2 linked regions of the Lepisosteus oculatus genome follow. The protein of the gene in region 1 interacts with the protein of each later gene in a pairwise test. Links are inferred from orthologs where the notes say so. Each region holds a gene or a part of one and is shown in the gene's direction. Other genes may lie near its edges.

The links. The genes of interacting proteins can lie anywhere in the genome.
Region 2: the proteins of ube2kb (region 1) and rnf5 interact in binary tests that used the Homo sapiens proteins (3 or more experiments, as listed by UniProt). The link is inferred for Lepisosteus oculatus from reciprocal best matches to the Homo sapiens genes UBE2K and RNF5.

The regions. Positions count from the first base shown.
Region 1 is NC_090696.1:68,332,009-68,335,754, reverse strand, and holds the start of ube2kb (ubiquitin-conjugating enzyme E2Kb (UBC1 homolog, yeast)), read left to right. Parts: upstream 1-1,081; 5' UTR 1,082-1,176; coding exon 1,177-1,239; intron 1,240-3,746. UniProt on the Homo sapiens protein: Accepts ubiquitin from the E1 complex and catalyzes its covalent attachment to other proteins. In vitro, in the presence or in the absence of BRCA1-BARD1 E3 ubiquitin-protein ligase complex, catalyzes the synthesis of 'Lys-48'-linked polyubiquitin chains.
Region 2 is NC_090709.1:39,110,866-39,114,611, reverse strand, and holds the start of rnf5 (E3 ubiquitin-protein ligase RNF5), read left to right. Parts: upstream 1-869; 5' UTR 870-873; coding exon 874-1,049; intron 1,050-1,498; coding exon 1,499-1,517; intron 1,518-1,803; coding exon 1,804-1,916; intron 1,917-2,186; coding exon 2,187-2,241; intron 2,242-2,771; coding exon 2,772-2,883; intron 2,884-3,539; coding exon 3,540-3,661; 3' UTR 3,662-3,746. UniProt on the Homo sapiens protein: Membrane-bound E3 ubiquitin-protein ligase that mediates ubiquitination of target proteins. May function together with E2 ubiquitin-conjugating enzymes UBE2D1/UBCH5A and UBE2D2/UBC4.

The DNA.
Region 1 (3,746 bases):
ACAAGGTCAAAAGGTCAGTGCTTCACTGATGGACTGCTGAATATGCTGCACCACTAATCTCTAGCCCATTGTTACTTCCTGGAGGCCTAGATTTCAGAGAGATGTTTTGGGGAGTAGTTTGGAGTGGTTATTCGGAGTGGTAAAAACAGCAATCTAGAATTGTTCTATGTAGACCTAATGAGACATGAATTAAGTCTGAGGTAGTTAGCAGTATTTCTGTTTTTTTTTTATCCAGTCATAAACGTTATTCAGTTATAGTATTGGAACTCTTCTTAGGTACTTAATTGAACCACGGTTCTGACAAATATGAGTCACATTGATTATGTTTTTGCTTTATGACACTTTAAAACTGGATCTTGTCACATGTCAGAAGCTAAGCAAGACTTGGCCTCGTCAGTAAAAGGAAAATTAGATGGCTGACAGAACTTGTTTTGGTACATCAGTAGGTGGCACTCTTCCCTATTAGATGAGAGGGCAAGGTGCTGTAAAGATCGAAATCTTTCAAATGAGACTTTTCATAGGCCCCTCTGTACTTGTCACATTAACATTTCGTACAGCACTTTTTTACAACTAAAATGGTCCCGCGTTCCTCCGTTTGTAGTACATATTGCCACACACTCGGTTAATCATTCGGCAAAAATATCGTTCACTGAATTTCATGTTCGTGTATGTAGTGGGTGGAAACGTAGATAAAATGTAAATAAAATACAAATATAAAAAGCACAAAATTAAATATGTGCAAAAGATGGGCCCTATCTCGAACATCACACCTGGAAGGAAAAAAACAAATCGATTACAAAAATAAGCTAAGCAGGTTATGCTCCAGCACCTATTTCAGTTGAGTAGTGACATTATTATAATAAAACGCCTAGCTTTGACTGTGTAGCCCCGGAATGGGAAAACGCCATTAAGCAGAGCTCCTCTCCTCGGAATCCGTAAAAACATGACACATATTACATCTCAGAATACCTAGCATATCCCTGAAGGAAGTTGTTTTATTCCAGTTTGTAACATATTGTTCTTTTGGCACAGTGCGCAGACTCCGCGGATCGCCATTTGTGTGCGGGTAGGGGGGGGGGGTGTCTGTTTTTGTTGTAAAAAAAAAAGAGGAGCAGAGCGACGCTGCAGCTGTAGGCCTGTATCAGCAAACAGCGACAGAGAGGAGACGGCAAAGCCATGGCCAACATCGCAGTGCAGAGGATCAAACGAGAGTTCAAAGAGGTCCTTAAAAGCGAAGAGGTTAGCCATTCTTGCTTCTCTGAACGCTTGAGCCACGTACACGACACTCAGATAAGAAAAAAATAGAGAGTAATTTAACAGTTGAAAAAGGGCTACCGAGGCCCCGGGAAGGGGAAGTTAATGTCATCCCGACCGGGGCCGTCCAGAGGGGGCAGCTCCTAGGGCTGACGGAGACGGCCGGGGAGGGGTTCAGGAAATACCGGGGATCAGGAAGGAGGTTAGGCCGAGTGCAGGGAGTAAAATTAAAAATAAGAGCCCAGTCAGTGGGATTGGACTTCCCTGTGTTTGTGAAAGCCTTTTCGCTTATACGGTATAGTGGTTTTTTAAAAAAAATAAAAATTCCAGTGTGACGGGGGTAGTGGATTTTGTAAACTAAGCCAAAGTGACATGCTTCCTCTCTCGGTTTCGGGGGAAAAAAAGATGTCCTGGATCACTTTGTAGAAATTCAGGTTGGCGTGAAAGGGGAGCGTGGTCCTGCACCAGAACTCAAAATGTGGCTGTCATTAAGACGGGAGCTCCATTTCTGTCCCAGTTAACTACCCGATCGTGATCTCCAATCCTGATCCGGTTCTGGACAAACCCACATCCTCACTGCCACAAAGTTATGTAACAAAGCGGACGAATCCAGCGATCGCGAAGCGGCTTCCTTAGCTAAACACAGAAGCTGGTTCCTTTATTGTGGTTATCGGGGATTTTTTACGAAGCTCATCGATATTGGGTTTGAATGTTGAGAAAGCACGATCGTAAAGACTGTAACAGCTGTTGCAGAGGTGTCATCCCTTTCTCATTCACACATTTTGAACTGCAGCTCTGCCGACAACGCCATGTGTGTTGAGTGCATACAGACGTATTGAAAGTAGAGCACAGAGAAGGGGCCTGTCTCACTGTACGGATCAGGCACTCAGCATCATTGTGCTACCCTGAACACGTTATTAATCAGCCTGAACCTTTTCGTACTACCGTTTTATTACCGCCGGTTATTTCTCCGCTGTTTCAGTGCGTATAAAGATTTGCGTCCTCCTTTTGTTAGGGAGAGAAGAGCTTTGAGACTTCAATGTCAGAATATGCTTCCGTATCATGTAAAAAAATATCTTCTTATGAATCGAAATCCAGCTATCCAATATCCATCTTTTATTGTCTGAAGTCAGCAGCCACTGTTTGGAGAATAATTTGTTTTACAGCCTGAAACATTGTCGCCTCAGTTATGGTGCATCTGAGAGTCACCATTCTACAAATCATAGACATTTTAAAAGTGTCTTGCTTTATGATTGAATGTACTTCTGTAATAAAGCTAAATGAAAGCTGAGCCACCGCAAGGTAGTGCATTTCTTTAGACTCGAGGTAAAACTGTACGTCAGTGATTCCACCTCAACCTGCTCGGTAAGAATCTAAAATGAATCCTTAAGCAATTAATAAGTTTAATAAGGCAGCGATGCAGAGCAGTGGTCTGGGCTCTGGGTTCAAGACTGGAAGGATGCTGTTGTATCTTTGAGCAAAGGTACTTGATTGAAGTTGCTGCAGTAAATGCAGTGTAAATGATGCAGTATTATTGAGTCTCGAGGTCATGATTGTACAGGACTGAGAATGAAAAGTTAAAAAGAAGCTAGAATTCTGCAGCTTTTGTGTGTCTGCTCCAATTCAGATTCAGACTACAATCCTCGATAGACATGAATCTGCAGACGTGTCATAAATTCTTATCCACATACTGTATGAATGGTGCTGTTGAAATGAGACGTGTGTTAAGCTATTATACCATGTTTTGAGCATCTTTGCTAAAGGTGTGCCATTGTGCTACCACGTGTCCTGTCAGTGTTGTTGCCTGGGTCTCCTGTTCTACCTCAGGAAGACTCAGTTCAGGCAGAAGACATTTGAAGTCCCAGATGTGGCACTTCGGGATTTCAAGATTGGGAAAAAAACAACCCGAGAAAGAATTCCTGTCGTTTCCCACATTTGGAATACTTGAGCTAGCTCGTGATATTGAACACTTTTATACTTAAGCAGGGTCTTCGAGACAACAGAGGTATGACTGCCGAAGTTTCCTTGTGTTAAGGGGCGTTGAGCATACTCCTGCTTTTCTCCGTTCCGCCATTTGTTAGAGGAGATGTCCCAGGATACCAGTGGACGTTCTGCGGACAGTCTGTTCTTCTTTTATTAGTGTAGTAGGAAGAGATGAAATTCCGCACTGCAGAACATTAAAAGTACACGACATTTGTTCCCCAAAGACAAGTGTGTAGACCCTCTCAGTTTGAACAAATCCCGAAATCGGGCTCCGAAATCATGTTTTCCGAATCTTTCCCTGGTTAACTACCCTTTCTACCCCTCAGTGCTGACTGGCAATTTGAGCCAGTCATGCTAATTAGTGTACTGTGCTGTTTAATTGTAAGGTTGTTACAGTCAGATTTCAGTCTTTTGCAACGTTTGTCTCTTTGATGTTATGAAGCTAGGCTGGGTGGCTGTGAACTTCACCCAACAGCACACCACTGTCACGTTTCAGAAGAGAACTAAAT
Region 2 (3,746 bases), on another chromosome or scaffold:
AACCTGACAACGTTTCTCCTTCTCTCACGGCAAAAAAACACAGTACAGCGCAGTACAGCCCAGTAGGATCAGGGTAAAAACACAGTACAGTGCAGTAAAGCCCAGCGAGATCAGGGTTAAAAGCACAGTACAGCGCAGTAAAGCCCAGTAAGAACAGGGTAAAAACACAGTACAGTGCAGTAAAGCACAGTAAGAACAGGGTAAAAACACAGTATAGTGCAGTACAGCCCAGTGAGATCACGGTAAAAACACAGTACAGTGCAATACAGCCCAGTGAGATCAGGGTAAAAACACAGTACAGTGCAGTAAAGCACAGTTAGAACGGGGTAAAAACACAGTACAGTGCAGTACAGTCCAGTGAGAGCAGGGTAAAAACACAGTACAGTGCAGTACAGCCCAGTGAGAGCAGGGTAAAAACACAGTACAGCGCAGTACAGCCCAGTGAGATCAGGGTAAAAACACAGTACAGCGCAGTACAGCCCAGTGAGCTCAGGGTAAAAACACAGTACAGTGCAGTAAAGCACAGTAAGAACGGGGTAAAAACACAGTACAGTGCAGTACAGTCCAGTGAGAGCAGGGTAAAAACAGTACAGCGCAGTACAGCCCAGTGAGAGCAGGGTAAAAACACAGTACAGCGCAGTACAGCCCAGTGAGAGCAGGGTTAAAGCACAGCACAAGTGTGGGGAACCTGAATATGATAAAAACAGAGCGCAGGATAAACGCATTTCTGAAAGAATCGCGACCCATTCATGCTCGACGCCAAGCCGGGAGGCGCCTCTACTCGGTGAATTACGGGCCCGGCGTGTCACCGGCGGAAACCGGAAGAGACCGGAGGCGAGCGAGCGAGCGAGCGAGCCAGGCAGGTAAACAAACATGGCGGCGGAGCCCAGGCGCACGGCGGACAGCGGTCCGGCCGAGGACGGCGACCGGGGCGGGACGGGAGGCGGGCTGGGCCGGGACACGGAGCGCGACCGGGCCACCTTCGAGTGTAACATCTGCCTGGACACGGCCAGGGACGCGGTGATCAGCCTGTGCGGACATCTGTTCTGGTGCGAGCTGGGGTCGGGGCTCAGAGGCAGCGACACTGTCTGTGTGTGTGTGTACACAGAGGGGGGTGGGGGTGGGGAACAGGCTGCCAAGCCCTGTGGTTGAAGCCGATACCCTGGCTTCTCTCCAGACACAGCTGGGTGAGCTCCTCCAGTCAGGACAGGAGGCTCTTCTGTACACAGAGGGGGGTGGGGGTGGGGAACAGGCTGCCCAGCCCTGTGGTTGAAGCCGATACCCTGGCTTCTCTCCAGACACAGCTGGGTGAGCTCCTCCAGTCAGGACAGGAGGCTCTTCTGTACACAGAGGGGGGTGGGGGAGTGGAACAGCTGGATGAATTCCTCTGATCAATTAGCTACTGACCCACCAAACGGGTCTAATGTGCATAGTGACTTCTTGTTTGTAACCTTTCTGAAATTAAATGCAAATCTCTTTGCTTTCTTTCATGAAACAGCTGGCCATGTCTACACCAAGTAAGTGTTTTTTTAATTTCTTCCTTGGTGTATGTTTAATGTAACTTTCAGTCAGTTTGTCTCTCTCCCAGTACAGTGTTCATGTACTGGAGTGTCCAGTCAGTGTGTCTGTATGAACCCCTCTCTCTCTCAGTGCAGTGTTCATGTCCTGGAGTGTCCAGTCAGTGTGTGTGTGTGAACCCCTCTCTCTCAGGTCAGTGTTCATGTCCTGGAGTGTCCAGTCAGTCTCTCTCTCTCTCAGGTCAGTGTTCATGTCCTGGAGTGTATTAACCCCTCTCTCTCTCAGTGGTTGGAGACCCGCCCCAGCAGACAGCAGTGTCCAGTGTGTAAGGCCGGGATCAGCCGGGAGAACGTTATTCCTCTGTATGGAAGAGGGAGCTCAAGTCAGGATGACCCACGGTACTGTCCTGTCCTGTCCGTTGTGTGTCCACTGTGCGCCAGTGTCTGTCTGAGTGAAGTGGGGCAGGTTTTTAGTGCTCATAGACTCCAGCTGCACAGCAGTCCCTTCCTTTCCAGGTTTTACATCTGACCCGTTGTCTAGTGGTAACAGTCGGACCACAGAGCACTGCGAAACCCGGTCTTCTGAAAGACTCAGGAGGTTTCCTGTTTTCCAGTTGTTGGTATCTTTGCTCAGCTTCATGAATTAACTCTTTCTTGGTGTTTTTATAGATTGAAAACTCCTCCTCGACCTCAGGGACAGAGACCAGAGCCGGAGAGCAGAGGGGTGAGTCACTGAGTCAGGGTGTCTGTATGAACCCCTCTCTCTCTCAGTGCAGTGTTCATGTACTGGAGTGTCCAGTCAGTGTGTCTGTATGAACCCCTCTCTCTCTCAGTGCAGTGTTCATGTACTGGAGTGTCCAGTCAGGGTGTGTGTATGAACCCCTCTCTCTCTCAGTGCAGTGTTCATGTACTGGAGTGTCCAGTCAGTGTGTGTGTATGAACCCCTCTCTCTCTCAGTGCAGTGTTCATGTACTGGAGTGTCCAGTCAGTGTGTCTGTATGAACCCCTCTCTCTCTCAGTGCAGTGTTCATGTACTGGAGTGTCCAGTCAGTGTGTCTGTATGAACCCCTCTCTCTCTCAGTGCAGTGTTCATGTACTGGAGTGTCCAGTCAGTGTGTCTGTATGAACCCCTCTCTCTCTCTCAGTGCAGTGTTCATGTACTGGAGTGTCCAGTCAGTGTGTCTGTATGAACCCCTCTCTCTCTCAGTGCAGTGTTCATGTACTGGAGTGTATGAACCCCTCTCTCTCTCTCAGCCCTTCCAGGGTTTCGGTGACACTGGGTTCCACATGTCCTTCGGTATTGGTGCGTTTCCCTTTGGTTTCTTCACTACAGTCTTCAACACCAATGACCCGTTTCACCGCGCAGGTACAGTGTGTCTCTACAGGAGTGTGTGTGTGTCTATACAGTGTGTCCAGTAAGAGTCTACAGGAGTGTGTGTGTGTCTATACAGTGTGTCCAATAAGAGTCTGTACAGGAGTGTGTGTGTGTGTCTATACAGTGTGTCCAGTAAGAGTCTGTACAGGAGTGTGTGTGTCTATACAGTGTGTCCAGTAAGAGTCTACAGGAGTGTGTGTGTGTCTATACAGTGTGTCCAATAAGAGTCTGTACAGGAGTGTGTGTGTGTGTCTATACAGTGTGTCCAATAAGAGTCTGTACAGGAGTGTGTGTGTGTGTCTATACAGTGTGTCCAGTAAGAGTCTGTACAGGAGTGTGTGTGTCTATACAGTGTGTCCAGTAAGAGTCTACAGGAGTGTGTGTGTGTCTATACAGTGTGTCCAATAAGAGTCTACAGGAGTGTGTGTGTCTCTACAGTGTGTCCAGTAAGAGTCTGTACAGGAGTGTGTGTGTGTGTCTCTACAGGAGTGTGTGTGTCTGTACAGGAGTGTGTGTGTGTGTCTCTACAGGAGTGTGTGTGTCTGTACAGGAGTGTGTGTGTGTTGTGCTCTCAGTATCATGAGGTTATATAGCGACTCTCCAGCTGGAATCTGTTCTGATTTGGGGGTTCTCTTCCTCGCCCCCAGATACTCCCCACCCAGGCGGCGGTTACCCGGACAACGGTAACCCCGGCAACGGCAACAGCTGGCAGGACTCCCTGTTCCTCTTCGTCGCCATCTTCTTCTTCTTCTGGCTGCTGAGCATCTGAGGGCGGGGGGCCGGGGGGGCCGGGGGGGCGGGCGAGGTGTCGTCCTGCGGGGGGGCGCCCCCCCCTCCCCTGGCGTGTCTCGACC